Linked DNA regions of Nothobranchius furzeri. The protein of the gene in region 5 purifies or fractionates together with the protein of the main gene of each other region. This does not show direct contact. Links are inferred from orthologs where the notes say so. Each region holds a gene or a part of one and is shown on either strand. Other genes may lie near its edges.

Region 1 (3,742 bases), on a different chromosome or scaffold from region 5:
ACATTGTGATAAAAATACTCCTGCTCGAAAAGAACCTGGTGCCTTCGACATGTGACGAATATGTTAAAAGATGATCGTTTAATATAAAATAACTAGCTTTGGGCAATGATTTACGTCATTCCACGAACCTCTACGTTAGCCCGGCAAGCCATCCTATAGGCTACCATCTACCAGGTCACTTTTCCTACACCGCCATCTAGCGGTGACTTTGGTCCCCGGTGTAATGTAAAACAACGTTCCCCCACCTACATGTGCAGTTTTACCAATTATCACAACTGATGTGAGAAACTGCACCTAAAAGTTGACTAAATAAACAGTTTTGCTTTATTTTGTCAACTGTAGTGGGATAAAGGTCTGATGACTAAATAATAATTTCATAAAATACATTTTTATTTTAGAGCCTGGCCTGCCAGACTCATCTGTGTAACTTTATACACAAGGAAGCGTGGGGCTGGCTAGTACACCAGTAGCATTGGGATCTGATTGGGACAACACAGTAGTTAATGATGCTAGTTTATGTGCTGACACTTTATTCAGTATTAAAAACCAACACAAAGAAGTCAGAGTAATTTGTCCTCTTAACCAGAAGTTTAATGTACAAAAAAAAAAGTCCAACTAAAAAGCACACAGAAATTCACAAAACGTTTCTGCTTTAATGAAGCAAAGGAAAAAAAAAATCCTGTACAAACAGTGAAGTGTTAGGAATCAACAGAACAGCCTTGCGATCATCTCCTTGGTCCACCTCGTCCCCGTCCCCTTCCTCTCCCACGTCCCCGTCCCCTGCCTCGTCCCCGTCCAGCCACTGAGGAGACAGATGAGCAGCATCAGCACAAGTGTCACAAACACCATATTGCTCATTTAGCATCTGGTCCTTTAAACCACTCCTTAAATTATGTCGTACAGTTAATGTTACAATTTAGTTCTTTTAATATAAACCCATGCAGAAACCTGTGCAAACACACCAGTTACATCACTGTGAAAACCTTTTTGTTCACGCAAAGGAGAATTCAGATTCACTTTCTAAAAAAAACACCTTAAGATAAAATTCAACTCAACATATCTTATGCATTTTCACCTTTCTCACCTGCTTCTCTCTTCTTGGACTTGATCTTTGGCTCGATGTCAACCAGCAAGGTGTCCAGAGGGAGGCTGTCTGGGAGGATGAAGTAGCGAATATTGTTGCCGCGGATACTCAGCGACTCCAGCTGAGTGGGCTCCCTGTTTTTTAGGGTCATTTTTACCGCCTTCAGGTGAGTGTTCATGCTCACATCAACACCTGAAAAACAGAGAGGAGGGATGAAACACCAGCCATAAGTACATCTGGCACTTGAGTTTAGGATTAATTTTACAGATTAGAAAATATTTTAATTTGCAGGTTGTGTGTGTGCTTGTCTAGGGTTTGTTAAACATAAAAAAATCCCATCAAATAGGATTAAATAATACAAAAACATACATTGTGCAGATTTATCTGTACTAAAGTCTGACTATGAGGATGAAAGCACAGCTGTGGGTATTAATCTACTTAATGCATACAAATATATGTCATTAGTATTGAAATTAAAGAGCTTCAGCTGACTCCTGGCTTATCTGACCACCTTTATGAGCTCACCTGTGATGGTGCCGTGAACCTGGGTGCCATTTTTCAGCTCAATGGTTACGGTTTCATGGCTGAGCTTCATCAAAAACCTGTGGGCATCATTGCACACGATGACTGAGTGAAAACATCACAACGTAATTGGGACATTTCTCGCAGAGGCTAGATAGTAGCTTAGCTTTAGCTATCTAGTTAGCCACCGATGGCTATTAGGTGACTTTTAAAGCGTTTGAAACAATAAAAACACTGATTATCCACCAGTTTAACAGCTAAACTAAATATTTACAAAATGAACTCTAACAAATTATGTTAAAACCCCATTTTGAGCCGCTTTAGTTGATTGACAAGCTAATGCTACAACGGTTGAATGAGTTAACGTCTAGCCTAATATTTTTACTTATTGAAATAGAAATGTACTTAAAGTAGACGTTCATCTATGTTGATAATTAAAACTGTGCGTAGGAACGTGTTTTAAACCCTCAGCGGTCGCCGTAACGTCGCTCAGGATCCATTACATTTTTCCACTTCCCGCCTCATCACCGTTTAATCAAATCCCAATCCATCCGGCCACATCACTTTCATTTGATCAGTTTACGTTAATTCTCCGGTTAATCCGGGACCTCCCGCTGCCGCCTACCTGACTAGTTTCATGATGATGGAAAACAGTAGAGAAAAATCCTCCACCGAAGACAAAAATTACAGCGATCGAGTGAAAACACAGGCCGCTGTTGTATTCGAAACGTTCAGGGATGTGACGTCACTAAAAGGCGACAACAAAGACGAGGGGGTGTAATTACCGCCATCTACTGGTGGAATTGTGATCCGTTCTAACACTTTTGTTTTATTTTTCTGTGCAACATGTTTTACAGTAGTGTTAAAATCCACAATCTTTATTTTACTACTAATTTATTGGAATCTGGCAGTTAAAAGGTCAAATATCCAAAACAAAGATCCCTAAATGATCAATATTTAGGAAGATCACTACCGTTACCTACTGCTGGATTCGTGATCTGCAGAATTTGCAACCAAAAGGTCAAAACGGTGTTTATGTGCAACATGTGTTAAAGTCGTAGTAAAATTTACATTTTTACTGATTTATCAAAATCTGGAAGATGAAAAAAGGTAAAATATCCACAACAATTAACCCTAACTGATCAAGACCTAATTCATTCAACAGATCAGGAGACAACTTCAGAGAACTTGTCGCAGTTGAATAAAACCACAAAGCAGCACTTTCAGCTCATTTTATTAAGAGTAAACTCTGCACCGATACTTAAGAGATTTGGCCACACATCAAATCTGTCTTCTTGAGACCTGCTGGGAATGTATCAAGTATAATCAATGAGAGTGCTTTTTTTTATTCCAAAGATGTAGGCTGAGACCAATAAATCATAAAGTGTGAAGCACAAAAAGAAAAACGGCACAAGGCCATTAAACTCAGCATTATTCCACTTCTAATAATAATAAAAATAAATAAAACCGTCATCCTCTCTGTGTGTTGCCTGCACATGATTGACGCAACACGTTATTAATATTCTGGAGCAGAAAAAGTCTCGACTCAGTGCATCTGCTGTTGAACTCTAGAAAAGAAAATCTAATTATGCAGTGGTTTAAAACAGAAGTCATGAAATATTACAGCAGGTGAGCACGTGTTCCTGGAAATCTTTCATGTGGAAACAGATAATGTCCTTTTGGGGTTTCTCTCCACCTTAACCATAGCAACTGAGTAATCGATCTTCAGATCAGCAGTCGTGTTTTATTCTCCTGTAAACGTTACAGCGGGGCTCAAACAGGAAGTCACACGTCCAACAAAATAAAATCAAAGGTCAGCTGGACGTGAACATTCAGATAAAGGGGTTAAACGTCGGGCCGCTGCGCCATGAAATGTTTTAGGCTTTTAAACTTTGATTTAGCGTGTTTAAAAAACAATGTTAACAAATAGAAACTAAAGAAGGCACACACACCAAAAGAAGATCCTCACTATAATAAGGAAGTGATGATAAATGATTTATTTCTAAAGCAGCTAATAAATACGAGTCAAACGATGCTGTAGTGTGAACGCCGATATGCTAAAAGCGTATAAACCTAAAGTGACTGAAAATGAAGGTAAACAGCTCAGAGATGATAAAATGAATTTCGTCGACTTGT
Region 2 (4,264 bases), on a different chromosome or scaffold from region 5:
ATCACCATTCATTTTAATGTTCCTCTTGTTCTTACGCACAGGCAGGAGGACCAGTGCAAGTGCGCCTTTGTAAGAGGACTTAATCAGAAATAAAACAATATTCCCTTCTGCTCCCTCAGTAAGGATTGTCCACACCACAAACCTTGACAGAATGTCTGTGAGAAATGGGGTTGATCAGTGGGTCAAAGTAGAAAGCAGGAAGATCCGGGTCCTCCGTCTTGATAAACACCACATTCGGTGTGTGGTACCTGCAGAAAGCAAAAATCACTTGTCGGTCATGGCAGTTCTTCCATTTTGGGGAATTCAGTCATTTCATCTCTATTAATCGATTTATCCCAAATAAATGCATTAGTCAGTTTAAGCTTAAGGTCATCACTGGCTTGGTTCCTACCACGTGAGGTGAACGTGGTGTGGCAGGTTATTGTACAGGTAGGGGAAAGCGATCTTGTACTCCGTTCTGATTGGCTGTCGGATGATGATTTTATTGATGTCATTGAACTCGTTCCAGTCTTCATCCCTGAAGGTAAAAAGTAACCATCAGCCTAGTGAGAAAACACTCAGTACCTGTTTTTATTTGACTGTTTAAAGTGATACTGATTCACAAATATTTTTTCCACAGGCAGCATGCTTGATAAATAGATGGGAGCTTCTTACTGGAGGTTTATGTCTCTGACCAGCGGCTCAAACTTTGGTCCTCCTGGGATGGCCATGTTTAAGGCCTTTGAAGTGAAGAAGGCCTTCAGGTCAAACAGGTAAAAGTAGTTAAAGTCCACCAGGTCTGTCATTAGCTGATTGGCCAGACGATACAGCGTTGACATCATGGGCAGCGTGAACTGCCAGCGACGATACGTGGTTCCGTTCACAAACCTGAAAAACAGTTTAATGTTTTAATTATTCAAGTTGTGAAACAACCAAATACAGCAAGTGTTGACATAAAAAGAAAGAAAAATACCCACTTGGAACTGTCTTTGAGGGGCTGGTGTTCGTAGAACCAGTCCACCACAGGAGAGTCCTCCTCTGAATCAAGCTCCATTTGGATGGCCTCCAGAGGTTCCACATCAAGGATGTTATCAGCGTAGTCCAGCGGCGGCTCCTCATCATCGAATGGGGGGAAGCGCATCCTTTTGAAGTGTCGTCGATCACGCTTCTCACGACGCATCATGATCCACATGGTGCTGAAATTTATTAAGGGAATACCATTAATGAATTATACCAAAGTAACATCAATGTGCACGTTCTAATAAGATACTCAAGATTGGCTCAAAACTGAAAAGTAGGAAATGCCAAACACTTACCCCCACTGAGAAATGTAGACCGGCTCTATAACCCAAGGGATTTCGTTCACAAAGGAAATGGCTCCCGTGATGTGGTAGAGCACAGGCACGTCTCGGATTTGTTCCCAGGGCATTGGCATGTTTTCCAGCAGCTTCAGGACCGCGTGGGGCATGTACTTGAGTGCACTGTTCATCAGCAAATAATGCACAAGATAGAATTGGTATTACTGAAAGTATGAAAGCATTTTGCATCAACAAGAAAGAACAAATTATTTTTTACCCTAGGTAAACTCTTTTGTCGTGGCGGAACTTTCTGTTGGTCATGTCGCCATGGTCCCTAATGATTTTGCGAACATGTTCAGGAGGCATGTCTTCCTTCTGGGCGTCCACAAAGCCAAACTTTCTCTTTTCAGCATAACGCTTGGCCTGTAGCTGCTGCCATTTCCTTGCTGTATGATTAGATGCGGAGACAATTCAATTATAAATGATAAATATCTATAGCGCCTCTCAGAGGAAGGACTCGAAAGTGCTTTACATTCATCCATTCACACAGACATTCACTGACAAAGGCGATGATTTGGGGGGAATTTAGGAGATGATTTTATGATCATCTGCAAAGCACAGCCCATCAACCATTTGATTTGCTGAGCTGAAATTAAAAAGGTACCCTTTTCCTGTAGTTTTTCCTCCGTCATGTAGTCTGGAACTGGTGCAGGAGGAACAACCAGGGGAACACCTGGGGGGACAACCGGGGGTACAACAGGAGGCACACCCGGTGGCATCCCAGGAAGGACCCCTCTGTAGGGAAAGACTCCTGCCATGGTGCCTCACTGCTAAATACAAAAGATAAAAAACAATACACACAGGCTTATTAAATTAAAGTTAAACAACGCACTTTAACACAATCTGGCTTTCCGTTAAATCAAACTTAAGTCGTAAAATGTTTAAAGGGTTTGTATTTGAAAGTAAACTATGCCCGCTTACTTCAAAAATATAGTAATTTTTACTTATGAAAAACGAAAACACAACAAACCGGAGAACAGCATATTGTTTGCAATGTTAGCTCATCAATGGCGTACTAAGCGACAACACGCTAAACTTTCAAACCACCAGACTTCACGTAAATTATATCTAATTTTTGCACAGGTCAAGCATTAAAGATTTTTAAGAAAAATAGACTAAAACAGCGAGTCCATTGTCGGCTTTACAAATAATTTGTGAAAGTAATTCGATAACGAATTCCAGGCCCAGCGCGGAGAAGCTCGGCGCTGTTAGCATAGCGGCTAAAGGCTGCACGTTAACCAACAATAAAAGACTAACGAGTATAAAACATCTTACACCACGTTACCTTCGCTCCGACGGCACTTTATGTACTTCAAAATCACCCTCGATCCACTCACAAACAATAACTACAACATTTCTTCTTTTTAGTTGCCGTCTGGTGCTTTTTTCCGCGTTAATAAATTGAGATGGTCGTAGCTAAACCATCGAGCTAAACCAAACCACGACGGTAACCACACGATCAGCCATCAGCGCATCTCTGGTGTAATTCACAAAAGCACCTACGCTAGATATAACAGTATGGTTGCTTGTTGCTTTTCAAGAAGGTTACGTGAAATAATTTGCGCCAACGTTAGACATGCGTAAAGCAGCGATTTCCCGGATGATTTGGGGTAATCATTTCCGGTTCACTACCGACCCTTACAGGATCCTATCTCTCTCTCTCTCTCACACACACACACACACACACACACACACACACACACACACACACACACACACACACACACACACACACACACACACACACACACACACACACACACAGTTACATGCTACTATAAATATGGATAATATAATTTAACAGCTCCTATTCCATTTATTCTTGTAGATGTGTTATTATTATTATTATTATTATTATTATTATTATTACTTTTTTAAAATGATGACCCCACTGTATTGGCGGTCTGTTTTCTATTTTTAGTGTACTGTTGTCCCTCCATTTCCCCCTCCCTCTCTTTCCCTGTTTGTGTTGTATGTCTCTTTTCTCCCTGCCTGTCCACTCTGGTGCGTAGATTAATGTGGTCTAACATGCCACAAACATAATAAAGGCTATTGCACAACAAGAGCAATATCCCACATCCCTCTTGCCGTAGAGCAAAACTGCTCTGGCATCCAGTTCATCCATTCTGTCTGCTTCAACTACCTCGACTTCCAGGAGAACAATCAGGACAACCAGGAAAACAGAACTACCATGATCAAACAATAGTCATTAGGACAACCAGGAAAACAGAACTACCACGATCAAACAATAGTCATTAGGACAACCAGGAAAACAGAACTACCACGATCAAACAGACATCAAAGAGGTACGGTTGAGTTCTATGATGTCATAGATGTACTATTACATACAGCTTCTGGAACTCATTCACTTCAGAATCTCAGCAGGCAACAGATAGGTTTCCTGATTGTCTTCACCCAGTGCTTATTTATTTTAGCTTATTGATTGAATTCTTTAATCAGTAACTATCTTATTATATTGAAAATGAACAGAGCGGATAACACACGTGATTATAGAGATAATAATTTTATATTATTGTATTTCTACAGGAACTAAGTTATATTAGGGATGGGTACCTTTGACATTTGAATCGATCCGGTACTAATTCCCGGTACCTACGAATCGATACCAGTACTTAACGGTACCAATTTTCGATACTTTTGAGTGTTTATTATTTTAATTCTCTTTTATAATTAGATATATATATTTTTTTCTCAATTTATAACCATATTTGATAAATATCACGATAAATAACATACAACTGTTTGTATTTTAACAGCGCCCTTGTAGTTTTATCAGCTGATAATTAAACTGAATCAAACATCTTTACTGTGAACTAAATTTACTGTGTATCTTCATTCCTTTTACCGTCCTTTTTCAATTGATTTTTCCTACTATGAAGTAAGAATTTCCGAGGAGAAATCGAACG
Region 3 (4,235 bases), on a different chromosome or scaffold from region 5:
GACTTATACGAACGCCTGCCCAAAGAGACGGCCGTTCAGGTCAAAGTTCCAAAATTCAAACTGGAGTATTCTCAAGAGTTACAGGAGGTTCTTACCAAACTAGGTAAAGTTTTAGATGTTTTATTAATGTTGCAGATACATTTTAATAAATGTCAATTTTAAGTAAAAATTTGGGAAAACCACTGTTATTTTCTTAACTGAGCCTCAAAATGTAATTTTTATTTTTTATATTTTTCAGGCCTCGGGGAGATGTTCCTGAATCCTAACTTGGCTGATATTGCAGACGGCCCCCTGCTGGTGTCCAGTGTGATGCACAAGTCAAGCATGGAAATAAATGAGGATGGTGCAGAAGCTGCTGCAGCCACCAACATAGTTATCTCACGGGCAGCAATTCCAGTTTTCCACCTCACTAAGCCCTTCTTTTTTGTGCTTATGGATGACGTAACTCAAATACCAATCTTCATGGGTGTCATCAACAATCCTAATCCTGGAGCCCCTATCCTGCAGAAAGGACAGTTTGGAAGCAAAGATAAAATGGGTTTCTCATATGACAAAGATCACATGAGCTCATTTGGGGGTCCTAAATAGGAAATACAAATCTGTCCATTTCTTGAGAGAAAGCTAGGAGTTAGCAGTTGTACAGACTAGTCTGGATCAAAATATGTGTGAAAATAAAAACGTTTTGTTTGTTTCATAAGGAAATAATTATGCTTTAAAGCCCAATAGTCATTTTAAGAGGAATATTCATTTTACATGACTGTATTGTATAAGATGTGATGGTCAAGAAATTAAACGATAACATTAAATTCACAAAAAAGTCCCTGTCATGTTACTTGATGGTTTAATTTTCCACCACATGTGGAATGTGTCAACATGTAAAGTCTAAAATATCATATGTTTGAGCATTACTGCATGACTGAGCATTTTCTTAAAATATTTTAATTTGTTTTCTTGTGTACTTAAATCAATTCAATTTATCTAAATCAGTATTGATATGAATTAATTTGCTGAGACATTTAAATCAAATGGTTATTTAAAAATACTTTTCAAATCTTGCCATGTGACACATTTTAGGAGTTACAATATTATTGTAATATGACTTACGGTAAAATTAGTTAATTTCTTAGAATATAATTTTCCCCCTCCAAATATAGTTATTATGCGACGAGTAAAACTGTGCATAATACTAACATTCCGTGTTTTTTAAAAATCGCTGAAAACACAAAATCGGGTGTTTCCTGTTTTCAAATGTCATTGAACGCATCGCAACAAACGTCACTCAGTTTTGCGCTGAGAAATTCAGTGCTGGTCTGCGGTCAGTTTAGTGAGAATTTACCTCTAAGCCTTGCTGTTCTGACAGATTTTGGAAACTGAAGTCAGATCTGTTACCGGAAACGGAACCCGACAACACGGAACTCGACAAATTGAGCGCGCGATGCCTGAGCCGTTGGCGCCACAGGCATAAACTTCAAGCTGTTTGCAGTGATAGTTGTAGAAAACCGTCTGTCTAGCAGTTGCTAAAGTAATCTTCAGTTTCAACGCAAAATCGTCAGACATGCCTAAACTTTCAGAAGGCGCGATTGAGGTAAAGTTAATGTCAGTTCAACTAAAATGCTAACGTGTTTTTGTAGGCATTTTCCTACTATGTGTTTGCATTCGCGCGACATTTTTTACATTGAGGTTAATGGAAACTTAAAAACTAATATTGACTGAAGCTGGTGTAAATTGAAACATAATTTGAAGTAGCGTACATGTGTTTAGAAATCTTTTGTAAAAAATGAATGCTTCTACTGTTAAAACAAAACAGCTGTGTTACATTAAGTTAATTGTTTTTGTTTGCAGGCTTTAGCTAATGGCTCCGGTTGGAATGACGCAGTTCTTCAGCTGGTGGTAAATAACGAAAACGTGAAATACCATTTAAACGTATCATGCTCTTAAACGCATGTTTACTTTTGGGCTTCGTTTTTAGTTCTGACACGGTTAAGGCCCGCATCACATGCGGCCTCTTTGTTTAACCGTCATGACGTATTGAAAGCTGTGTAAACTTGTGAAGCTGCTTTTTGTGCGTTATATATTTTAGAAGAGGCATTAAACGCCACACTCTTTTTCAGAACGCTGCTTCAGCAAATTCCAACAAATCAGTAACTCAGGCATTAGTTAAATGCTTTTGCAGATTTCTTGATTAAATTGCAAGAGTTTATTATTTTTTTCTTTAACTTTTAGAACATTCGCAAAATAGAGGGAGGAAGTGGGATACCTCGCTTTCGGGTGATGATGAGTGATGGACGCCACACACTGTCATGTAAGTATGATATACATTTGGATCAAACCAGTCTCTGACCCTGGGTTTGGCATTTAATCATTTTTGAATGGAAAGTGTTAGTGAGACTGCATCTTTAGAGAGAAGCTACTCCGTTTGCAATTTTAATTTGTCTAGTTTCATAGACTCAAATCTCATTTTTCCTGCATGATAGTTCTTGGTAAATAAATAATTAGAAGGTCAGGGCAGCTGTGACCTTGACATTTGTTCGTTAGTGGAAAAAATTGGCACTATCTCCTTTGTTTACTTTGTCAGGGAAAATTTTACCCTGAAGCACTGTTGGTGTACGAATCGTGTGATGAGCAGCACATCTATTTGCGTTTTAAACGACAACATGATTAACATTTAAATGACATCTGGAATGCATATTTGTTTTGTGGTTTTATTTTGCAATCATTAAAGGTTTTAGGTAGCCTGGCAAGCTATGTTGATATATAGTCTGGCTACAACCCATAGACTGAGCTCGGTCTTGGGGCAGAATCTACATTTTGTTTTTTAAACGGTCTCTGCTTGCAATACTACAGTGCTAGCACCAATCAGAGCAACAAACAACGTGACGTATTGACAGCAACGGAAATCGCTCGACAGGGCAGTCTGCCATACATTATCGAAGAGGTACCTCCACCTGCTGCACAAGTCTAAGTCGCCCAAATTTGATACCAACACCTTTTAAAAAGAGTGCCGTTCCTGAGCCGATGCCATCTTTGTTTTGCTTTGTCACCGCTGTGGTTCTAAACTCCTCAACTCTTGCTAGACCAACCCGCAGAGCATAAATCTTCAGATACTCCTACAGTTTTTCTAGTTCTCTAGGCTAGGGTTTAGGTGCACATTGTGAGTTTTTTTTTTTTTGTTAACGTAAAGCTAACCAAACATTTTCCCTCATCATTTGCAGCCTTTATGCTTTCCACTCAGTTGAACTACTTGGCTGAGGAAAACATCCTCGCCCCAAACTGTGTGTGCATTCTGAAGAAGCATGTGACCAATATTCTGAAGGATGGACGGTATGCAGATTTCGTAGCAAATATAAAAATTTGCTATTTAAAAAGCAAAAATGAACAAGAATTGATGTAAAATCTGATTGCAGCCGAGTGGTCATCATTTTGGAAACCGAATTGATCAAACCTGCTGAAGAAGTCAGTGGTAAAATTGGAGACCCTACTCCTTACTTTGATGGTAAAACTCAATGGCAGTGAGAGAAACAGAGGTGACTCATTATTGAGTCATCGTGTTGCCATAGGCTTGTGGTAACTTGATGTTCTGTTTGTAGGTCAGAATAAAGGCCAGCAGTCTGGCCCCGTCCCTGCAGCTCCAGGCCCCGAAGTCAGACCTCCACTGCAGGCACAAAACAAGAACGACGGTAAGTTCAAGCTTTTGTCTTTTATATTTATTTAATTTTTCTGCTGAAAAAGCTGACCATAGACAAAAAACAAAATGTCCACTAGATGGCAGCAGCTTTCTGATGGTTTAGGCAATCTTAAGGTTTATATGACATTTTGACATTTGCGTACAGAAATCTTATTTTTATCCTCTTATGAAACAAAAATCTGTGCTTTGTTTCCATAACTATGCTTCCTGTTGGTGCATCGGGAGGAGTTTCCTGTTCTTTCCCTGTGAAAGACAATCACTCAACCAACTGTCAGAGTGTTGATTAGATCAATAAAATACAAATTTTACGTTCAGATTTCTGAGACCAGTAGCAGAGCTGCAGACTCCCACATCTATGTTGTGTCTGCGAGTGACGAAGCAGACATTCATCCCTGGAATCTGCCATGTGGGAGTGAAGGCTTGCAGCAGCCATCTTCCTCATCAACAGGAGGGATTGTTCATTTCTCTGTGTGTGCTGCTTGATCTCAGAGTTTAATTACCTGAAGTGCAGCGGTTGCCAAAGTGTGTGGACTCGAGTGAACACTTTGAA
Region 4 (3,934 bases), on a different chromosome or scaffold from region 5:
TCATCACTAAATGAAACAAATCAGCTGTGTTCATGATCTAAACCATGCAGGAAACTTGCTGGAACTAGACTGCAGCGCCAGGTATGTCAGCTCAAGTTCTTCTAAGTTCAACAGATCAGACCAGCAACTGTGAAGCTGCAAGTGGGATATTTTGGCCACAGGGGGCGATAGGGGCTGGGTGGCATTTCATTAACACTGTGAAGGGTTATTTTAGCACATACTGGCTCAAGAAAATTATCTAAAAATATGAACAAGTTACAAAGTATCTTTTAACCCTCGCCACATCCTTGAACTTTTGCAAAACCCATTACCTTTTGCACAAAAAAAGCACTAGGGAGTGGAGGGTTAAATGAAAAGCAACACTCTTCATACCCATTTCTGTGCTGATTTTAGGCACCCCACCCCTAGCATTTTTTATAAAACTTAACTTTTTAAGTTAATTTACCCTTTAAAATTAAAAAATGCACAATCTGTTATTTCTGTGAAATTATGCAAAGTAATTCAAGGGAAAAAAGTCAATGTTTATTCAAATAATGAAAAATGCATGACAGAAATACTGAAATCACATTCTGAAATGTGCTTCAAACTTTCATGATTTACGCAAACAGCAACTGACCTGCAGACAGTACGGTTTCCAATTAGTTAGACTGTAAATAAATGCCAGCTGCAATTAAAATGCTTGAAACTAAAACATTTTCAATTAAAAAAGATCAAATGAAACACACACACAAAGTCCTCTACTTTACATATTTCTCCATAAATTTCTTGTGGAACTCAGAGCGCAGCGTGTCGTTGACAAAACGTTTCTCTTTCCGCGCCTCATCCACTCCTTTGGCGCAGTTTTTGAACACTACGTCATCATCCCACCTAGAAGTACATCAGAATTATTAGTGGTGGTGAAGGAATATATTTGTTTTTCCAAATGCAAACAAACAAAAAACCAACATTCTTGCTGTAACAAGTGAACATAAGAAATACCTTCTCTTGACTCTGAATGTGTTCTGAGTTTGGCTCTGTTGCTGTTGTTGCTGCTGCTGCTGTTGCTGTCCTGCTAAATTTATCAATGGATTTCCACTCAAAATATTTTCCATTCGAATCCTCTCTTCCTCTGCCTTCTGCTCTCTTTCCTAAATAACAAAAGAAAAGCACACGGAGGTTAAGCCATCCTCTATAACATCACTTTTCATTTATAGCCAAAGCAAACACAAACTTAAAACTCTTTACTTTGCGTTCTTGCTCTTCAGCTCGCTCTTTCTTAATTTTTTCAAGTTCAGCCAGCAGGGCTGCAGTGTCGTCATCATCACTTTCTTCATCTGAGTTCTCGTCTTCGTCATCCTGTAATGTAAAAATGGATTAATAACTTTATCCAGTGTAAGTCTGGGATGTATTGCAATGTAAATCCTTACATCAGTGAGAGGGTCATCGGCATCAAGGTTGGCTGCTGGGATCTGATCCAGTCTGGGCCTTTTTGAAGATGATGATGATGAAGAAGATGATGTGGTGTGCTCTGAAGAAATAAAATCAACACAATACAGATTAAAGGAACTATGCCAGAAACCGTTGCATACATCCTTTTTGGATCTAATCTTTATTATGAGTAGAAAAATCCACCTCTTGGTCCCCTCTCTCTGGTCTTCTCACGAGCAGCTACACGCTCCCTCTCCTCCAGCTCTCGGCGAAAATCACGGGCACGCACTTCCTCAGGGGCATCCTGGGTAGGCTGCCTTTTAATTGAGATGAAAGAAACACAGTTTAAGTAGTTCGAATAAATATTTAAGGTTGAGAAACTGGAACCCACTGTTCTGACCTGTATTTGATCTTGGTGTGACCTGGAAGATCCCGACTGGAATACTGCTTAGAAAGAGCACTCAAATCCCCTTCTCCTTTTCCTCTACCCCCTCTCGCCGGCTCAAATGTTGGTCTTGCAGCTGTAGTCATCTTTGATGGCCGTGCTCTGGCAAAACGTAAAGCAGAAAATAACTGACCAATTCATAAATTACAATAAGTAATTTTAGATATACATCATAATAAGTCTAATGTTAATATGAGTTAAAACCTTTAACGATCAGTTTCCTCCTAAATGTTGTTTAAAACACAAGTTAGCTTGATAGCTTCCACCGCTAATCAGTTGCTAACAGGCTAACGTGGGTGACAATGCAATTTAAGGAACATTTCCTATTTTTAAAACCCAATGCAAGATAATTACGAGAGTAAACATGTTTGAAACACAAAGCTTAAAATAAACAACACAATTTAAATACGTTTTTAAAGCAACAACACTTACGAAGCTGCTTCCAAAAGTGAAAAGGAAACGTTCCTGTACACAACGGTGCGTCACTTCCGGAACTAGACGCGTTCAGGAACAATCGGAGAAAAATCGTGCATATTTTGACCGGCATGACAGGACTCCAAGAACCTATTTTACTTGTATTGTTTACGAGGTCGGCTGCGCAGTGGTTAGAGCTGTTGCCTTGGGTTCACTTCCCAGCCTGAGATCTTTCTGCATGGAGTTTGCATGTTCTCCCTGTGCATGCGTGGGTTCTCTCCGGGTACTCCGGCTTCCTCCCACAGTCCTTAGGTGTGTGTGTGTGTGTGTGTGTGTGTGTGTGTGTGTGTGCGTGTGTGTGTGTGTGTGTGTGTGTGTGTGCGTGCATGATTGTTTGTCCTGTGTGTCTCTGTGTTGCCCTGCGATGGACTGGCTTTCTGTCCAGGGTATATCCCGCCTGATTGCCCATTGACCGCTGGAGATAGGCACCAGCCCACCGCAACCCTACGTGGACAAAGCGGGTTCAGACAATGGATGGATGGATGGATGTTTACAAGGTCAATAAAATGTAGTGTTCAAATTAAGAAAACCACAAATCTTGTTTACTACAGTATGATAATTACAGACCAATCTTAGTGCTTCCCCAGTTTTCTAAAGTCCCTGTTGCCCTTTTCAAGCTGGATCTAACCTCCATCTGTCTGCAGATTCCTGCACCCGACTCCTGTTGAAGATCTCAGCTACATTTATGCTGCTCCCTTGTTTTCTCCATTAATTTATTGTTTAAAACCGACCGTAGTCTGTGAACTGATTCTGTAAGTCGTGGGTTAGACACTTACCTCACAACATGACACCATAGTGACTGGTATAATTACGCAATCCTTCGATGAAAGAAGGTCACAGTTTAGTCTTGTATGCGATCATGGTTCAGGTTTGCATTTCATTATTTTCTGACCTCCTGCTATGACATTTTTTTTACCTGAAGCTCATAAATATTCCTGAAAAGTTGAATAAACAGAAATCTTCAGTGCAATGCACCGATATGAAACTTTGGGGCTGATACCAATATCTGATATATCGCTGTTATGGCCGATAACCGATGTTTGCCAATACCGATATACTGACATTAATGCTTCTAAGATCAACAGATTTGTAAAGATTAAAGCTGAATTGACGTTATGTACACACACCACACATGTTTACACTGTTAGATGATTGCAATCACTGTCACATGACTAAACAATTACACATCACCTCCCTCACCCTCTGAAACAGATAAACAAATGAAAACAAGATGGAAAAATTATCAGTTAATATTGGCCCAGTTTAATGTATCGGACCAATACCGATATTAATGCCAATATATTGTGCATCCCTATTTTGAACCCTAACCTACTGACAAAGTTTGTTTGAAAGTTGTCCTCATTCAGATAAATACAAAGATGAAGAGATAAAGTGAAAATATTGCTGACTTCCCTTACCTTTACATATCTGACCTCATAACATGTGATAAGAATGAACGCTCAGACGGTGACTTTGAAAAACCCACGGACCAAAGTGTAAATATTACAGTTTAAAGAGGTGTTAAGTTACACCAGAGTGTGCAACAGTCGTAGGAAATAATGGCCACGTTTTCTTTGAGCAGGAATGATATCGCAACGGTCTGATAAG
Region 5 (3,002 bases):
CTGCTGGACATCCATCCTTCTCATCATCCTGTACACATAACGAAACTCACTAAACTACAGAGAAGTAACAATCCATCACAAATTGCTCCAATATCTAAAGTTTTGCCATTATTTCTGTCTTTCACTGTTTACTGTCCAACATGACTAGGATTGGACACCGCTTGAATCCGAGCGGTTTTGAATCCGGTTCCTATCGATTCCCGATTCTGACAGGATCTAAAAACATCTAAACTTTAGCATGAATTTTTATTCTGTGAACAATAACATCACCTTCATTCAGACAAAAACATGTTTTCAAGAAAAAGACTTGCAGCACAACCAGTGTTTGTTTCCGACCACAACCAAAGCCTGGGAACGATTTTTTATTATATTTATTGTCCGTATCGACTCCTGGTGGCCAGAACCCAGCGTCAGTCATCCACCACAGAGAAAGGCTGCTCTAGCATGATGACTTTAAATATTTTAAAGGTTATTGCTCAGCCGTCTGACGAGTGTGAGTGGCTGCATTTGACTGTTGATGCTCCGTGTGCGTTTTTAATTCTGCAGTGAGCCGAACTCACCTCACACCGCCCGCAGTTTGTTCTTTAAAACTTGTATTATATCCACCATGTTGACGCATTTTAACGAGCTTCCTCCGCGCCATCTATTTACATTTTTGCCACTGTGCGCCTGTGCAGTGTGAGGGAGGGGGGGGGGGGGGACGCAATGCTGTTCTCAAGGTCTATGCGGGCTGCAGAGAAGGAGCGAAAGGTGGTGTGATCGGCTTTGAAAGGCGTTGATTAGATCAGAGATCGCCCACAGATTCTTCCAGTCAGCAGCCTGGGAATCGAAACTAGAAATCGAAATAAAGCAGTTTGAATGATTCTGGAAAAACTGACCGTCCCGGTTCTAACAGATGCTCAACGCCCAACCCTACACATGACATCATCGCTTGTAGACTGTCCGAGGCTGTCTTTGGTTGTGAGACGGCTCAAAAAGCTGTCACAGAGCCGGTCACACTGGGCAGCAACACCGTTTTTGTTACAATTCTGCCCACGATGAGGGATTTGCCTAAGATGGCCGAAAATGGTTTAACAGAAGAGGTGTGTATGACCTGCTCCATCTCCTCTGTGCTGACTGGCTTGTAGGAGTGGGTTTCCAGGTAGGAGATGTGTGAGGCGTTGTTGGACGTAGACGTGGGGCCTTTGGTTTTACCACGCTGCAGCTGATTGGCCATGTTGACTGATGGATGGTGGAGGCAGTCGTGGTGCAGCATGGTGATCATTTCCTGTTTGATGAGCTCCTCTGCGATCTGGAGGTCAGAGAGTGGCTCCATGGAGGCGGGACGGAGGACAGACTCATTTACCTGCAGAGATGTAATGATGCAGAGGTAAATAAAGGCTTGTCGGGTCTTATTAGTGCTACGTGCCACAGGGCACTCTGCATTCGGGTCGAACCTCAGTAGGTCTGGGGAGACTCCTCTGTACTGCCGTGTGCCGTAGCTTCAGCTCCTTCTCCCGTTCTGCATCCCGCTGAGCCTGAAAATGCACGCGAGAATACAGTAAACACCACTGATGCCATTATAAACTACATCAGAATGAATGTGTGCCTACCTGTTTGCGTGCCTCCACATCTGCAGAGTCCTCGATATATCCCGTCTCCATCTCCGTTTCTTCAAGTTCTTTTTCTGCGTTTTCAGGAAGAACAATTTCAAAGTCGTTCTTAGGGACAGGAAGTGACATCAGCCCTTGCCTTAGCTGCTGCAGGCTTTCCTTGTGCTGTTAAAGAAAAGAAGAAGTGATTATAAACATAATTAAATATTTGGTTTTGGATTTATTGATTCAATGTGACACTTAAATGACTTGTGTTTTTACTAGATGTTTGGTGAATGTTGAGTCAGCCAGTTGCTCCTCGGTGTTTATGTTGAGTTTGTCTCTCAGCGGCGTCCGGCCGGGCGTCAAACCTGGAGTACCACGTGGAGTCATCCCACCCCCAGCTAGAGGCGTCATCCCATCTGAGGCCTGACCGGGTCCAGGAGTTCTGCAGGAGATCACAAGACCATAAATGTTGACCTTTTTAGTGGATTTGAGACAATTAAGTCAGCAGAAACATTAAGAGCAAAGTGAGATCAGTCTAGTTTAAAGGTGCATTATGTAGAAATGAAGTCAAAATGGCATCCTGTGGTAAAATGTAGTTACTGCAACCACTTTAAACAACTCTGGAGCTTTTTGCCAGCCATCATCATATTACAATTGTCGGTGCTGCAGTAATAGCTCGCAGGAGACACGACACCCCCACCCTCACTGATGTAGTTACATCCAGGGTTTCCCTTACATAGGCGTAGCTGTGGCGGCCCGCCACGGCTGAAATCCCACCACCACGCCTACAAGATCCCAAGTTTTTTTTTTTTTGCGCTGTTTCCCACAGAAACAGCGGGAACTACTATGTTGTCACTTGTGATCACAGCCAGCGGGCGGCAAGGGGGAGCGGGCAGGGCAAGGTGAAATTACAGCATAAGTTACTGAGTTTAAAATTAGAAAGGTAGCAGTGGATATAATGCCTTTTGGTTTACATGTTTCAATAGCATTAAGATAAACGAGTGTTGACGATCTTGACAGGGTTTCCTCCAGTGCTTATTAGGCCAGATTCTCCCCCCACCAGGCTAAGCATCACTTATTCATGTAAAATTTATTTATTTTTTCATGTCTGACTTTAACTGCATCTAATACTGTATTACGGCGTGAGCGCAACAGCGACAACTTAAGATCGATGCGTGAGCAGCCTGAGAGGTCGGGTGTTTTCATCTGAACTCTTAAAACCTCCAGCAGGCTACGCTGCACTATTGACGCGTTAGCGCGCGGCGCTTAGCGATGTGACATGTCTCGGAGAAAGCGTAAAAACACGTTGGACGCTTCTTCTGAAGCGGGAAAATAACACCTCTTCTTAAACAGAGCATGACGTTGCCTCGACTCGTTCACCCTCTGCCGAGCCGGTGTCGATAACATTGACCCAGCACAGCCACT
Region 6 (3,450 bases), on a different chromosome or scaffold from region 5:
GTATTCTAACAACGTGGTGATCGTCTTAAAGCCATATTAGGCAACTTTCTCATATTTTTATATCATTTTCTTGAGCCAGTATGTGCCAAAATTAACTTTTACAGGGTTAATGAAATGTCACTCAGACCACCACCACCCGCTGTAGCAAGAGTATCACACTTGCAACTTCAGAGTGCTGGTCCAGTCCTTTGAAATTAGTAAAGTGGAGCCGACACGCCCCGCATTGCAGTCTGCTTCCGGTATGTTTTAGACCATGAATACAGCTTATCTGAGGTTGAACCACTCCTGTGGACACTAATGAAGGTGGGGGAGGCGTTTCAGCTGTTAGATTTGTGTTTAAAAGACAAACGCAAAGCAAGGAAAGAAGTTTCACTTTTGCTTCTACTAAATAGACACTAGGGGGTGCTAAAGCAAGCTAAATGCCAAGTGTACCTTTAAGTTGTACATTATTCTCCACTAGTCTACCTGTTTTACGGACAAAAGAAAAGCTGCTCACACAATTAAAAGAACACACATTTTATTTCAAAAACAGTTAAAGAAAAGCCACTGAAATATTTACATGGCAACGGAAACAACAGGATTATTGCAGTCATTAAAACACTGGATGGATTTTAAGACAAAAACTCGTTAAGAACATTCAACATACAACAAGTGAATTGAATAACAGACTGTCCTACTGAGGCTTCTTCAAGTAGGAGTGGTCTAACAAAACTACCCAGGTAACTCAAAAAACTTTTAAAGACTCACATTAAAAATCAGAGTCTGAATCGATGTTATAGTTGACGGGTTTGCGAGCGCGTGCCGCTTTGTCTCGGGGTGCAGCAGCAACTGGAGAGGCCATTTCCTGGTCCGAAACCAGGAAGCTGTCATCCTCATCCCACTTCTTAGGTTTCTTAAAAAAACAAAACATATTCAGGTGTTAACGTATAAATATACAAAGAAAACCGCAGAAATGAAAACCTTACGGTATAATAGGAACAAACCTTGGGGCCGGCATTTGTTTTGGTTTTGAGCCTCGACATGAGGTTACCCGAATCGCTGTCCGAGTCTTCGTTGACCACCTGCTTTCGTTTTAAAGGTTTCGCTTTTGGAGCTTTTAACTCAGCCTCTGAGTCGTCAGAGTCAAAGGAGGGCAGCTTTGAGGCAGCAGCGGGTTTGGATGCAGGCTTGCGCTTGGTCAGAGCATCAACGATGGACGGCTGCTTCACATCTGGGAGCGGGGGGAAGTTACTAGCACTGCAACTAGGAAACCTGAATGTGTCTTTTATAAACCATAATGAGCCAACTAGTTTACCTGCCGCCTTCTTCTTGGAAGCAGCTGGTTTCTTAGCAACAGCAGCTTTCTTAGGTGCAGCCTCTTTGGTTTTAGACTGAGCTGGAGCCTTGGGAGCAGGATCATCAGAATGAGCTGTAAAATGTTTATAAGGTTAGGTTGGTTAATAAATCACCTGACTTTAAGCTAACACCCGTCTCAGACACGCCAACACCCGTGTCAAACAAACACTTACAACTAGACGTGGCTTTGGTTTGTTTAGATACCGATTTGCTCTTGGTCTCCTTTTTCCTGTGAAGAAAATTCACAAAATGTAAGACAAGTTAAAGAAAACCATCTAAATCCCAACCCTTCCATTGATGTACACTAACGTGGGCTTTGGAGCTTTGGGAGGCGGAGCTGGAGAGTCCTTGTCGCTGTCCGACGCGGCGCTGAGCCCTACGTTAAAGGACGAATCATCGTCGCTGATAACAGCTCTCTGTTTAGGGGCTTTCTTCTCCCCGTCATCAAACTCATCCTCACTGTCCGACATGCTGTACTTCACTGGAGCTAAAAAAAAAAAAAAATAAAAATCACAGAAACAATTGTTTAACAAGTATTTGAAATAAATGTACTATTCTTGTAGAGAAAGAATCCAAGATAACCAGGAGACAATCCCATACAAGGTTAATAAACCAGAAACATTAGCCCTTGATCTATAAATGTTTAGAACGAGTATCTGGTGTTCATCTGTGACTTATTCTGCAGTGTAATAATGCCGACTTACCTTTAGTTCTGCGTTCCACCTTCTCTCTGGGGACAACAACCTCCTCCTCAACATCATCAGCATCCATCTCGCTGTCAGAAAAACCTTCGGACTCATCGGACCATGGATTCTTCTTAGACTTCTTGGGCACCGCCTTAAACTGGAGAGTAGTCTGCTTGCTGGTCTTTGAAGCTGCAGGAAACAGGTGGCTCTTAAGAGTTCAGGTTTTAGGTGTCTTCATGTCATATTGGGCTGAAAACTGAAAGCGTCAGTGTGTAGTTTCCTGGCGCTAGGGGGCAGTGCATACATTTACTGTCGTTTCATATCACTGTGACCGTTGCTAGTAGTTTCTGGATCTGCTCGGGTTCATGTGCCTGCTGATGATGTTAAACTATGGCATTACTGCTCAGCCAAAACATATGGCATCTCTTTCTATTCTGTTCCCTCACATCAGTTTTGGAAAGAGTTTAGCAGTTTGTTATTAAATTAGAGTTTCTTACTGCCTAAATGTTTTTGAACATGGTAACCTAACTTCTGTAAGTCGAACGTTCAGCCAATCATCTAGTGTGACATCAACAGGCAGTGAACCCGAGCCGGCCAGAAGAAAACACGCCCTGCCTCAGAGACGTTAGACTCACACCTGGTGTACTCTAGACCCGATTTTTATGGTTAAATGTTACAAAGCTGCCAATTTTTTTCAATGACGGGACATCATTTTATTCATTTTCAATGTTTCGATGGAAGTTTCCAGAGATTAACGGCAAAAATGCACATTATCTCTTAAAAGTATTGTTTGATCCTTTTTGGATATCGATGTAATCTGGACCGGAGGAGTCAGAACCAAGTTCAGCACGAATAAAAACCAGAACTTATTAGTGAGAACTTGTGAAATCTACCCTTCCACGCCAAGCCTTACATCTTCCTTCAGACTTTAAAACGGTTTACTAACAAGTGAAATTATTAAGCAATCTTTATCTGCCAGTAAATATTCACTAATAAGAAATGAGTTTATTGTAAAACTACAAGTTCTCTGCACCGTGAGTCATTCCCACCTTTCTCCTTGGCATTTGTTTTCTTGCCCAGCCGTGCAACCAAACCAGTTTCCTCCACTGGAGAAATGTTCTCCATGTCCTCGTCAAACTCCATCTTCACTATTAAACTGTCGCTCTGCATTAGGGGAAAACAAAGGTTAAAAGTGATGAACACGGATCAGACACAGAGGAGAAATAGCAGCGCTTTGTGTGGTGGGACAGACCTTGGCCTTCTTGCCTCGCTTGCCTTCCTGCTTCTCTCCTCTCCTCACACAAGCCTTCTTGTTGGCCTCAGCTTTCATAGCGCTGGTGATGCGAGGAACAATGCGGCGGCCCTGCGGCGTGGGCAGAGTCTCCGTTTTCACTTTCACACCTTTTCCTTTTCCAGCAGCCTTCACAGG
Region 7 (4,001 bases), on a different chromosome or scaffold from region 5:
TTTACTAGGGAACATATTTGTTCCTCAGTAGGTACTTGGGAGAAGGCTTCACTTTAAGCTAGACAAAAGCAGTAGGTAATGGTTAAGTACCTAGTAGGTACAGATTAGTACCTTCTAAGTTGGGAGAAGGCTTCACTTTCCATCATCTTGCGATGGACGGATGCCGACAATGGACAAAAAAGTGACAGACGTGTGAAGTCAAGATGAAACAGTGATGTTAAATCACTGTGATGTTGCAAATTATCTGCATTGTTCATGAAGTTTACAAAAAAAAAAAGTCCACAGGCACTACATTCATTTGGGATTTGTTCCTTAATGCGTTCAAAGATTAGTCCCTGAATAAAACTGTTGGGTTTTCACCAGTATGTATTGGTTAACTACCTATTCTTCCCTGCTTCATTACTCATTACTCCCTAAGTCGTTCCCTAGTTACGAAGCATAATTTTACGTACCTTATTGTAAAGTTACTGTTATTCTTCTTAGGTTGTCTACTCTGCCTTTTTTTGACGTCATGTTTTTCCAGTATTTCTGATTTACTGTTCAATTCAATTCAAAAATACTTTATTAATCCCAGGGGGAAACTGATTGCTGTAGTATCTCAGAATAATAATAATAATCAAGTCATCAAAGAGTTATTGTATATTACAATGGCTGTTGGCAGGAAGGATCTCCAGTAGTGTTGCAGCGAAACTGAAGAAGCCTCTGACTGAAGACACTCTTCCGTTGTCGGACAGTCTTGTGAAGAGAATGCTCACGGTTGTCCATAATTTTCTTGATTCTCTGGAGAATCCTTCTTTGCATTATCTCCTCCAGTGGTTCAGAAAGTGCCGAAACTCTGACTGAGTCCTTGAAAGGGCTTGGAGTTCCTCCATCTTGTTGGCCAGTGATCTCACATTGCCCATTATGATCGATGGGAGAGATGGTTTGAATTTCCTCTTTCTCTGTCTCCGTTTTGCTCCCGCTCTGCACCCACGCTTCTTGCGTTTTAGTTAATTTGGGATTTGTCGCGTCAGTTGAGGTATTATTTCAGCCTTTTCAATGTTAAACAGCTGCTCCCGATTGTAAACCAGCTTGTTGCCATGGTTACGCATCATAACAAATGCTCAAAAAGTGAAAAAACCTAAACAATAGCAGCAAAAGTCCTCCAAGCTTCACAGCACCAGAAACAGAAAAGTAAAGTGTCCAAAAAAATACCGTTTTTCTTGAGAAACTAGAAGAAAAAATGTCCAAGAAAAGGCTAAACTTACATATAGTTAACAGAGCTACTCCAACATGCAGCCACCCAGAGCAGCGTAAATAAGAAGAAAAACCATTTTAGTTTTAGCCATTGTAAGTTAAATGGTGTTTTGAGTTTCGCTATTTTGATTTACACCGTGTGGTGGCGGTAATTCACCAGAACGGTTTGGTAACCAACAAATAAGACAAAGAAGAAGAATTTCTTCCTCTTGTTTTCTGGGGAAAAAAGTCTCGGAGCTTTCATTCAATTTCAGGTTGGTACTACGTCAACATCTAACGCGTTTTACATGGTTAAGTGCATTTTAACTGTTGATTTAAAATATTTTTGACAAGCTTAAACGATTTGAGGTAACGTTGGAACTAGTAGAAGTATTTAGGCAGATTAATGACGCTAAATGCTGTTAGTTAGCTTTTAGCTAACACGCTGTTGTTGCCTTCCGCCATGTTTGTTACCATTGCGTTTAGATGCTGGATTTTTGAATGAAATTGGACTTGAAACTGCGTGAAAATAAGCACATGTTTGAGTCTTTATTTTATTTTTAGCTATTTTATTTATTCTCCTAGCCTTAAACATGACCACTCCAGCAGAGGTGCGCCCCAATCACACGATCTACATCAACAACCTAAACGAGAAGATAAAGAAAGATGGTGAGTTTCGCATCATTTTCTTTCCTTTTCTTTGTTTATTTCACGCACAATTAATGCAAAGTCTCCTTTATTATTGTTATTGATTATTTGTTGTTTGTGTGTCTCCCTCAGAGCTGAAGAAGTCCCTTTATGCCATCTTCTCTCAGTTTGGGCAAATTTTGGACATTTTGGTCGCACGAAACCTGAAGATGAAGGGTCAGGCGTTCGTTATCTTTAAAGAGATTAACAGCGCTTCTAATGCATTAAGGTCCATGCAGGGTTTTCCTTTCTATGATAAACCTATGGTACGTCTATTAAACATGTTTAATAATGCACAATTTAGACATTTCTGATGGAAGTACACGTGTGACTCAAATATATACTTTCTTGCAGCGAATCCAGTACTCTAAAATGGATTCGGATATTATAGCTAAGATGAAGGGGACTTTTGTGGAGCGTGACCGTAAAAAAGAAAAGAAGAAGCCCAAACCTGAATCTACAGGAAGTAAAAAAAATGCTGCAGCGATTGCTGGGGTACCTTCTGCAATCCCAGTGAGTGCACTAGGTGTTTTTTACAATCATGGTTAAACAATCTAGATATTTGTTAGTGAAGTAACGGCAGGTTTTAGATGCATTAAGAGTTAAAAGCTCAATTAACATGAATAGAAACTAAACGTTTGTCATTCTTTAGGGAATGCCACCAATGAACCAGGCTCCTCGCATGATGCACATTCCAGGCCAGCCACCTTACATGCCCCCTCCTGGAATGATGCCTCCTCCTGGGATGGCTCCAGGCCAGATTCCTCCTGGTGGGATTGCTCCTGGTCAGATGATGCCAGGACAGATGCCTCAGCAGGTAGCTTGTGTTCTTTTTCCTCACAGAACGTTTTGTTTCCTGTCCTGGTAGTTTAATCCTTACTCTCTTCCCACAGGTTTCAGAAAATCCACCCAACCACATTCTCTTTCTCACCAACCTGCCAGAGGAGACGAACGAACTCATGCTGTCCATGCTCTTCAACCAGTCAGTACTCATTTTCTAGTCATACATTTAAACAGATGCGTAAAAATGGATCAACTTTGACTGTTTTGTGATGCTAACATTGCAAATAATCTGAGAATTTAATTCTCTCAAACTGTTTTTTCTGTAATTGTAACTGAGCTGCTCTGTGCGTTAAAGGTTTCCCGGCTTCAAAGAGGTGCGTCTTGTTCCTGGTCGTCACGACATCGCCTTTGTGGAGTTTGAAAACGAGGTGCAGGCTGGCGCGGCACGAGATGCTCTGCAGGGCTTTAAGATCACTCAGACGAACGCCATGAAGATTTCTTTTGCCAAGAAATAACGCATCTTCCACCAGGTCCTGATTTAATTTGCATACATGTCCGTACATGTAAGTATCTGAGTCAAGTTGCTGTTAAGAAAGTTGGAGTGAAAAACTGGGAGCTCTAACTTTGTGCAATGGTTTGGCTTTAATCTGTAATGCTTGCGCAACTTGGTGTCCACTTCTCTGTTTTTCTGTTTCATAGTTTAAATTTTTTATTATAAACTGTTAAAGCATTGCACCCAGTGTCTGGTCCACCAGACATTGTACCTGGAGCTATTCTTTTTTTTTTATCTTGATTAAAATTTGAATTGGTAAAACACTAGACTGTTCTTTCTTTCGCTGTGTGTGTGTGTGTGTGTGTGTGTGTGTGTGTGTGTGTGTGTGTGTGTGTGTGTGTGTGTGTGTGTGTGTGTGTGTGTGTGTGTGTGTGTGTGTGTGTGTGTGTGTGTGTGTGTGTGTGTGTGTGTGTGTGTGTGTGTGTGTGTGTGTGTGTGTGTGAACAGGTTTGAGCATAAAGGATAACTCAACATTTCCTGTCTGAAATGTCAAAGAAAGGAATTGAGTTTAGAGTTGCATTTGCTTAATCAAGCCAAGCCAACTTTGTTTATAAAGCACTTTAAAAACAGCCCTCGCTGACCAAAGTGCTGAACATAAAAACATAAAAGCATAAAATAGAATACAGTGTAAGGTTAAAAGCACACTAAAATAAAACACAAATCAAATAGAAATCCAAAACGTGTTGAAAGCCAAGCTAAAAAGGTGGGTCTTTAAAGATGATTTAAAAGTTTCCAGTGAGGAGGCCTTTCTAAGATGTGCCGG

What was found.
Region 1: the proteins of cdc5l (region 5) and snrpd1 purify together in Homo sapiens (affinity purification with mass spectrometry; 4 studies listed by BioGRID and IntAct, with this or other methods). This does not show direct contact. The link is inferred for Nothobranchius furzeri from reciprocal best matches to the Homo sapiens genes CDC5L and SNRPD1.
Region 2: the proteins of cdc5l (region 5) and prpf8 fractionate together in Homo sapiens (co-fractionation; 5 studies listed by BioGRID and IntAct, with this or other methods). This does not show direct contact. The link is inferred for Nothobranchius furzeri from reciprocal best matches to the Homo sapiens genes CDC5L and PRPF8.
Region 3: the proteins of cdc5l (region 5) and rpa1 purify together in Homo sapiens (affinity purification with mass spectrometry; 3 studies listed by BioGRID, with this or other methods). This does not show direct contact. The link is inferred for Nothobranchius furzeri from reciprocal best matches to the Homo sapiens genes CDC5L and RPA1.
Region 4: the proteins of cdc5l (region 5) and cwc15 purify together in Homo sapiens (affinity purification with mass spectrometry; 4 studies listed by BioGRID and IntAct, with this or other methods). This does not show direct contact. The link is inferred for Nothobranchius furzeri from reciprocal best matches to the Homo sapiens genes CDC5L and CWC15.
Region 6: the proteins of cdc5l (region 5) and top2a purify together in Homo sapiens (affinity purification with mass spectrometry; 3 studies listed by BioGRID, with this or other methods). This does not show direct contact. The link is inferred for Nothobranchius furzeri from reciprocal best matches to the Homo sapiens genes CDC5L and TOP2A.
Region 7: the proteins of cdc5l (region 5) and snrpa purify together in Homo sapiens (affinity purification with mass spectrometry; 4 studies listed by BioGRID and IntAct, with this or other methods). This does not show direct contact. The link is inferred for Nothobranchius furzeri from reciprocal best matches to the Homo sapiens genes CDC5L and SNRPA.

What each region holds. Positions count from the first base shown.
Region 1 is NC_091759.1:18,894,640-18,898,381, forward strand, and holds snrpd1 (small nuclear ribonucleoprotein Sm D1), read right to left. Parts: upstream 2,370-3,742; 5' UTR 2,246-2,369; coding exon 2,232-2,245; intron 1,687-2,231; coding exon 1,610-1,686; intron 1,277-1,609; coding exon 1,076-1,276; intron 803-1,075; coding exon 726-802; 3' UTR 501-725; downstream 1-500. Other genes in the region: gamma-glutamylcyclotransferase, read right to left, coding at 1-4. UniProt on the Homo sapiens protein: Plays a role in pre-mRNA splicing as a core component of the spliceosomal U1, U2, U4 and U5 small nuclear ribonucleoproteins (snRNPs), the building blocks of the spliceosome.
Region 2 is NC_091753.1:37,707,806-37,712,069, forward strand, and holds the start of prpf8 (pre-mRNA-processing-splicing factor 8), read right to left. Parts: upstream 2,801-4,264; 5' UTR 2,623-2,800; intron 2,108-2,622; 5' UTR 2,096-2,107; coding exon 1,942-2,095; intron 1,724-1,941; coding exon 1,555-1,723; intron 1,461-1,554; coding exon 1,296-1,460; intron 1,176-1,295; coding exon 957-1,175; intron 868-956; coding exon 655-867; intron 518-654; coding exon 392-517; intron 249-391; coding exon 143-248; intron 1-142. UniProt on the Homo sapiens protein: Plays a role in pre-mRNA splicing as core component of precatalytic, catalytic and postcatalytic spliceosomal complexes, both of the predominant U2-type spliceosome and the minor U12-type spliceosome.
Region 3 is NC_091753.1:47,659,194-47,663,428, forward strand, and holds the start of rpa1 (replication protein A 70 kDa DNA-binding subunit), read left to right. Parts: upstream 1-1,435; 5' UTR 1,436-1,555; coding exon 1,556-1,585; intron 1,586-1,842; coding exon 1,843-1,890; intron 1,891-2,223; coding exon 2,224-2,302; intron 2,303-3,212; coding exon 3,213-3,321; intron 3,322-3,404; coding exon 3,405-3,493; intron 3,494-3,587; coding exon 3,588-3,677; intron 3,678-4,235. Other genes in the region: serpinf2b (serpin peptidase inhibitor, clade F (alpha-2 antiplasmin, pigment epithelium derived factor), member 2b), read left to right, coding at 1-103, 239-588. UniProt on the Homo sapiens protein: As part of the heterotrimeric replication protein A complex (RPA/RP-A), binds and stabilizes single-stranded DNA intermediates that form during DNA replication or upon DNA stress.
Region 4 is NC_091750.1:48,553,258-48,557,191, reverse strand, and holds cwc15 (protein CWC15 homolog), read right to left. Parts: upstream 2,436-3,934; 5' UTR 2,285-2,435; intron 2,200-2,284; exon of another isoform or gene 2,057-2,199; intron 1,955-2,056; 5' UTR 1,939-1,954; coding exon 1,808-1,938; intron 1,725-1,807; coding exon 1,612-1,724; intron 1,508-1,611; coding exon 1,407-1,507; intron 1,336-1,406; coding exon 1,225-1,335; intron 1,128-1,224; coding exon 979-1,127; intron 868-978; coding exon 738-867; 3' UTR 501-737; downstream 1-500. UniProt on the Homo sapiens protein: Involved in pre-mRNA splicing as component of the spliceosome. Component of the PRP19-CDC5L complex that forms an integral part of the spliceosome and is required for activating pre-mRNA splicing.
Region 5 is NC_091752.1:40,116,975-40,119,976, reverse strand, and holds part of cdc5l (cell division cycle 5-like protein), read right to left. Parts: intron 2,020-3,002; coding exon 1,854-2,019; intron 1,758-1,853; coding exon 1,593-1,757; intron 1,518-1,592; coding exon 1,437-1,517; intron 1,346-1,436; coding exon 1,094-1,345; intron 1-1,093.
Region 6 is NC_091756.1:31,444,746-31,448,195, forward strand, and holds the end of top2a (DNA topoisomerase 2-alpha), read right to left. Parts: coding exon 3,274-3,450; intron 3,186-3,273; coding exon 3,071-3,185; intron 2,211-3,070; coding exon 2,040-2,210; intron 1,823-2,039; coding exon 1,645-1,822; intron 1,565-1,644; coding exon 1,509-1,564; intron 1,409-1,508; coding exon 1,295-1,408; intron 1,211-1,294; coding exon 984-1,210; intron 893-983; coding exon 749-892; 3' UTR 501-748; downstream 1-500. UniProt on the Homo sapiens protein: Key decatenating enzyme that alters DNA topology by binding to two double-stranded DNA molecules, generating a double-stranded break in one of the strands, passing the intact strand through the broken strand, and religating the broken strand.
Region 7 is NC_091753.1:42,104,708-42,108,708, reverse strand, and holds snrpa (U1 small nuclear ribonucleoprotein A), read left to right. Parts: upstream 1-1,363; 5' UTR 1,364-1,490; intron 1,491-1,800; 5' UTR 1,801-1,808; coding exon 1,809-1,884; intron 1,885-1,995; coding exon 1,996-2,168; intron 2,169-2,256; coding exon 2,257-2,415; intron 2,416-2,554; coding exon 2,555-2,719; intron 2,720-2,795; coding exon 2,796-2,884; intron 2,885-3,040; coding exon 3,041-3,200; 3' UTR 3,201-3,501; downstream 3,502-4,001. UniProt on the Homo sapiens protein: Component of the spliceosomal U1 snRNP, which is essential for recognition of the pre-mRNA 5' splice-site and the subsequent assembly of the spliceosome. U1 snRNP is the first snRNP to interact with pre-mRNA.